Saccharomyces cerevisiae S288C: one gene and its partner. Changing the gene in region 1 together with any one later gene gives a genetic interaction. Each region holds a gene or a part of one and is shown on either strand. Other genes may lie near its edges.

The links.
Region 2: mutations in DFP3 (region 1) and ERG10 together harm fitness more than expected from each alone (negative genetic interaction), as found in Saccharomyces cerevisiae (one large-scale study listed by BioGRID).

The regions. Positions count from the first base shown.
Region 1 is NC_001135.5:125,419-128,709, reverse strand, and holds DFP3 (DUP240 family protein), read left to right. Parts: upstream 1-1,979; coding exon 1,980-2,699; downstream 2,700-3,291. Other genes in the region: serine/threonine protein kinase SAT4, read right to left, coding at 1-240.
Region 2 is NC_001148.4:496,250-499,881, forward strand, and holds ERG10 (acetyl-CoA C-acetyltransferase), read left to right. Parts: upstream 1-1,846; coding exon 1,847-3,043; downstream 3,044-3,632. Other genes in the region: ATP-dependent RNA helicase SUV3, read left to right, coding at 1-1,470; SMA1 (Sma1p), read left to right, coding at 3,416-3,632. UniProt on the Saccharomyces cerevisiae protein: Acetyl-CoA acetyltransferase; part of the first module of ergosterol biosynthesis pathway that includes the early steps of the pathway, conserved across all eukaryotes, and which results in the formation of mevalonate from acetyl-coenzyme A (acetyl-CoA).

The DNA of each region.
Region 1 (3,291 bases):
AGGATTAGAAACTACCCTAGGAGTAGCAGTGGTTGGGGTATGTAAACCAAATTTGGCTGATTTAGACGCCGATGGAACGTTTGTGTTTATATTAGAAGGTGGCTGGATATTCGATGAGGCCTTTCCCTGCCTAGATGATCTTGAACCGCTTCTAAAAAGTTGCATAACTTTAGAAGATAGCGCATGTTTCCTTGGAGTTTGCTGAGGAATAGCGGCATTATTATCATTCATACCAGTCATATATTTGAGGGGTAATGTCGAAATAAAATAAAATCTGATTACTTTTTTTTTGATTACAGGGAATAGTAGTCACAATACTTACTACTAGTTAATATCTAGCGGTAAATGGAGAGTAAAAAAAGGTTGAGAGCCTAATATTAGAAAGCTACCTTAAGCTTTCCAGTTTTTATTTGTAACTTAAAAACGCTTAAAGGCTTAGTACAACTTATTGAACAGGACTTTGAAAGTCCAAATTTTATTCGATAATGTTAAAGTGAATAACAACAACCCAGCAATAACAACAACAACAACAACACAACAGGTTATAACGAAACCGACAGGAAATCGTCAAAAAAAAAAAATGATAAAAAATTCTTAAAATCGAAACTCCAAGTAAAGGTCTATATTAGGGTTTAATAAACTTTTGCTAAAAAAAATTGCCGAATATCTCTATAAAGTAGTATATTTTCTTCTCCGTTTCCTCTTCCCTCTTTAAAAGCTGTAATATTATATATACTATTTGTATAGCGGAAAATGCGTGAGATGGCAAGAGCTCGGCCTGTTAACATATTAGCACGGGGAGGCCGATGTTGATTTGATGAAATGACGTGCCAGGTGATTTTTCCATTCGCCATGCCGGGGGTTGAGAAAAAATTTTTTCTCCGTCGGAGATAAAAAAAAAAAAAGAAAAGAAAAATTAACGACCCCAGTGAGGGTTGAACTCACGATCTTGCGATTAACAGTCGCACGCCTTAACCAACTTGGCCATGGAGTCATTTTATCTTGTGTCACTTTTACAGAAAAAGTATTACTAATATATGTTGAAAATTTTCCAACTACCCTTCGAGTATGATTTTACAACTGCGTCAAAGAAACCATGCAAAACAGTTGACTAATATCGCAACTGTTTTTTTTTCTCATTGCCTTTGAAAGAATGGAACACTCCTCACCACGAGGTTCTAAAAACTATACCAACCACAGTTTGGACGTACATCTGAAGATGGCATCCAATAGCAGCGGTATTCATTTGTGCGGGCTGGATTGAAAAAAGCATCACAATTATTGGGGCGTTTATTGTAGTCTTTGAACCGAGATAATCCAGGTGTTAAATATTGGTTGGATATGCATGCAAAATTTTCAGCAAAAACGATGGAAGCAGAACAAACAGTGCTTATCTTTGCTTCTGCTCTTGTGTAAGTCTAAAGGACAATATCTTTGTTATTAAGCACTCTAGCTGCCCACTGTATAAACAGAACTTTTGACAAAAAGTCTAGCCAGCGATGATATAATTTGCCTGCACAAAGAGTTTACTATTAGTAGCACAACTAAGTCATCGAAACGCTTTTAGTGGACAGATCTAAAGTTACAAATATTTAGGTATGCGTAAAAGGGTAATTAACCTAGTATCAAATGAGTCGAAGCCCCGACCGCGCCCAGAAGAAAAGCCATTATCATTTAGGTGACGCCTTGTTCTAAGGCTTAGTTAATAATATTCCTTTCAACCAAACAATGACCTTCCAAGGTGTTCAGTAAGTGGCTCTCATTTTAAGTTAGTTGGGTATTATACGCCTTGTATCCGGGGCTATGCTTAGGTTAAATAAGAATACTGCTTGAATAGCTCAAGTTTACAAAATAATTTAAAAAGAGTTTATGAACTTCAATAAAACTTCGAACCTGAAAATGTAAGTCTGTGTTCTGTTTATATACACCAGTCGGTTGTCTATACCATATCAAGACAAGAAACAAAACTCCGTATCTGCATGCAGCCTCATTTAGACAACAACAGTAATAATGACGATGTCAAATTGGATACATTAGGGGAACAAAATGTGTTATCATCCGCAGAAAATATCACTTTACCTGAAGACACCTTTAAATCATATATGACCTACTTGCTGTACGAGATGGCTCATTACAAACCGATGATATTTTCCTTCTTGGCACTTTCAGTTTCAATTTTAATAGTTGTGATCTTTCATAATGTTAAAGCTTGTGATGTCGTTTTTGGTTTTTCAATTTTCGTCACTTCTATTTTGTTTTTGTCTACGTTGATTCCGTTTAATGTGTATATCTCGGATGAGGGTTTCAGAATTAAGCTTTTGCTGGAAGTTATCACCCACAGGCCAGCGGTAAAGGGAAAAGAATGGAGAGCAATCACAGACAATATGAATCAATATTTACTTGATAATGGTTTATGGAGTACTCGCTATTACTTTTATAGTAGTGAAAGATGCTACAAATTCTTCAGATTTCTTGTGAAAGAAAAACCCCCAGGTGTGAATGTAAATTCATCGGTAAAGGACGCCACAAGTACGCAGATAGATGCACCAGCAAATGAGGCTTCAAATGAGGTAATAAAATGCTTTAGTTTCAGTTCTGACCCAATATTCGAAGCATACTTTGTTAAAGCAGTAGAAGTTGAGAAACAAGCACAACAGGAATATTGGAGAAAGCAATATCCTGACGCCGATATACCATGAAATATAAATCTTGATAATTTTATTTAGCACTTATACTGAGCGATGTACCAAACCGATTCTAAATTCACAATTCATAATGGAACTTAATCGTTTATACAGTATAAACAAGTAGAAGTATTTTGACAGAGATTAATAAATTTGTGCCACACGAAGGGGCTTTCTCACAGCTAATAATATTGTACAAACTAAAGGATAGAATATGCTGTGGTGCAAGTTGGGTGCACATTAACGTATTGTCGTGCATTCCCTATCATTTTTAAGGGAAGGAAATTAATTCTAATGGCTAGTTACTTACTCTCAGGACTCCATAATTAACATGTAGCAACTGAAAAAAGAAATTTTGCTGTGAATGACTTGTGCTCAAGATAAGCTTCTTTTTCTGAAGGTTTGTTTCTTATTGCGAGCACTTTTTTCTGTATATAATGTAACAGTGAAGAGCAGCATCTATATGTTAAAGTGCTTCATGTATGGTTAAGCAGGCTTTGCGGCTAAAAAAAAAGGAATGCTTATTACCCTTTTTTCCATACTTTTGTAGCTACCTAGTTTCTTTCTCGAATGTTTCGCGATTGTTTCCACTGCAATTTCCGCATAA
Region 2 (3,632 bases), on another chromosome or scaffold:
GCGTTACAGAAATTGAAATCCGTGGACCGTGGGTACTACGCAGGGCCGTTAAGACTGCTAGCAAGGGAAGTGTACGATAGATTTCATGCAGAAAAGATAAGATGCAATTTACTGACTGGAGAGGAAGTTATTCGTGATTTGGATGATAGAGGAAATTCAGCAGGGCTGACATCAGGCACAGTAGAAATGGTGCCAATAAATCAAAAATTTGACGTTGTTGTTCTTGATGAAATTCAAATGATGTCTGATGGGGATCGTGGCTGGGCTTGGACGAACGCGCTTTTAGGTGTCGTTTCCAAGGAGGTCCATCTTTGTGGTGAAAAGAGTGTTCTACCTTTGGTTAAGAGCATTGTTAAAATGACTGGCGATAAATTAACGATTAATGAATATGAGAGGTTAGGAAAGTTAAGTGTTGAAGAAAAACCTATCAAAGATGGCATCAAAGGTTTGCGCAAAGGAGATTGCGTCGTTGCGTTTTCAAAGAAGAAAATATTGGATCTCAAGCTAAAGATAGAGAAAGACACCAATTTGAAAGTTGCTGTAATTTATGGCTCTTTGCCGCCTGAAACACGTGTTCAACAAGCCGCCCTATTCAACAATGGAGAGTATGACATAATGGTAGCATCAGACGCTATTGGTATGGGTTTAAACCTGTCTATTGACAGAGTTGTATTCACGACAAATATGAAATATAATGGTGAAGAACTAATGGAAATGACTTCTTCTCAAATCAAACAAATAGGTGGTCGTGCGGGAAGGTTCAAATCTAGATCTGCCTCCGGGGGTGTTCCTCAGGGTTTTATCACCAGTTTCGAATCAAAAGTTTTGAAAAGTGTAAGAAAAGCTATTGAAGCACCTGTGGAGTATTTAAAAACTGCGGTTACATGGCCTACAGATGAAATATGTGCTCAACTAATGACACAATTCCCACCAGGAACGCCGACCAGTGTCCTGCTGCAGACTATTTCAGATGAGCTAGAGAAAAGTTCTGACAACCTGTTCACGTTATCTGATTTAAAGAGCAAACTGAAAGTTATTGGCTTATTCGAGCACATGGAAGATATCCCATTTTTCGACAAGCTGAAACTAAGCAATGCGCCCGTGAAGGACATGCCTATGGTCACAAAGGCGTTCACCAAATTTTGCGAAACAATAGCAAAAAGGCATACAAGAGGCCTACTGTCATACCGATTACCTTTTAACCTACTGGACTACAATTGCATACCGAATGAGAGTTATTCATTAGAGGTTTATGAGTCATTGTACAACATCATTACTCTATACTTCTGGCTCAGCAACAGGTACCCAAACTACTTCATTGACATGGAATCTGCTAAAGATTTGAAGTATTTCTGTGAGATGATTATTTTCGAGAAACTTGATCGATTAAAGAAGAATCCTTACGCACATAAGCCCTTTGGTTCTACAAGAGGTCACCTCTCATCTTCGAGAAGAAGATTGCGTACATAATCTACGATATATCCTGTAAATAGAAACAGCTACACTGCTTGAAAGCCTTAACATGATACATTTCTGGTATGATGCCATTGTTGTGCCCTGCCGGGTTTATCGTTTCCTAACAGGCACGTCACTTATAACGAGGTGCCTGTCGTTTACCGCCCAAGCCGGTTTTTTCGCTGGAGAGTACGGTACTACTAGCCCACCACACGTTCGTGGCCAGGTTGATAGGCCACCGTTGAGCAAAGGGCAGTAAAATATATAAAAGAGGAACAAGCGCTTCCATTAAGAGCACTGCTAAGCCTACTCGTTTTCTAGTTCTCTGAAAAAAGGTAGCCTAAAACAAGCGCCATATCATATATATTTATACAGATTAGACGTACTCAAAATGTCTCAGAACGTTTACATTGTATCGACTGCCAGAACCCCAATTGGTTCATTCCAGGGTTCTCTATCCTCCAAGACAGCAGTGGAATTGGGTGCTGTTGCTTTAAAAGGCGCCTTGGCTAAGGTTCCAGAATTGGATGCATCCAAGGATTTTGACGAAATTATTTTTGGTAACGTTCTTTCTGCCAATTTGGGCCAAGCTCCGGCCAGACAAGTTGCTTTGGCTGCCGGTTTGAGTAATCATATCGTTGCAAGCACAGTTAACAAGGTCTGTGCATCCGCTATGAAGGCAATCATTTTGGGTGCTCAATCCATCAAATGTGGTAATGCTGATGTTGTCGTAGCTGGTGGTTGTGAATCTATGACTAACGCACCATACTACATGCCAGCAGCCCGTGCGGGTGCCAAATTTGGCCAAACTGTTCTTGTTGATGGTGTCGAAAGAGATGGGTTGAACGATGCGTACGATGGTCTAGCCATGGGTGTACACGCAGAAAAGTGTGCCCGTGATTGGGATATTACTAGAGAACAACAAGACAATTTTGCCATCGAATCCTACCAAAAATCTCAAAAATCTCAAAAGGAAGGTAAATTCGACAATGAAATTGTACCTGTTACCATTAAGGGATTTAGAGGTAAGCCTGATACTCAAGTCACGAAGGACGAGGAACCTGCTAGATTACACGTTGAAAAATTGAGATCTGCAAGGACTGTTTTCCAAAAAGAAAACGGTACTGTTACTGCCGCTAACGCTTCTCCAATCAACGATGGTGCTGCAGCCGTCATCTTGGTTTCCGAAAAAGTTTTGAAGGAAAAGAATTTGAAGCCTTTGGCTATTATCAAAGGTTGGGGTGAGGCCGCTCATCAACCAGCTGATTTTACATGGGCTCCATCTCTTGCAGTTCCAAAGGCTTTGAAACATGCTGGCATCGAAGACATCAATTCTGTTGATTACTTTGAATTCAATGAAGCCTTTTCGGTTGTCGGTTTGGTGAACACTAAGATTTTGAAGCTAGACCCATCTAAGGTTAATGTATATGGTGGTGCTGTTGCTCTAGGTCACCCATTGGGTTGTTCTGGTGCTAGAGTGGTTGTTACACTGCTATCCATCTTACAGCAAGAAGGAGGTAAGATCGGTGTTGCCGCCATTTGTAATGGTGGTGGTGGTGCTTCCTCTATTGTCATTGAAAAGATATGATTACGTTCTGCGATTTTCTCATGATCTTTTTCATAAAATACATAAATATATAAATGGCTTTATGTATAACAGGCATAATTTAAAGTTTTATTTGCGATTCATCGTTTTTCAGGTACTCAAACGCTGAGGTGTGCCTTTTGACTTACTTTTCCGCCTTGGCAAGCTGGCCGGGTGATACTTGCACAAGTTCCACTAATTACTGACATTTGTGGTATTAACTCGTTTGACTGCTCTACAATTGTAGGATGTTAATCAATGTCTTGGCTGCCTTCATTCTCTTCAGGCTCTATTAATTTTAACCGTTATAAGTTCCTTTTCTCCCTTGGAAGCAAACATCAACTGCCTTAAAATCTGGTGGCGAGGAAAGAGGAAATGGCATGTACTAATGATGGTCCTAATAAATATCCCGAAATTGTGAGTGTTAAGCACCTGTTCCAACATTCGGGATCCAAGCATGAATTTAGTGCTGGTAAACGATTTTCAAAATCCATTGGTAAAATATTCAAACGAAACTCTGCTTTGAAAACTTCTAGAACTGAAACGGCAAATCATAAAATGGAATTGAAAAAAAGAGAGGGTGTTACCTTAT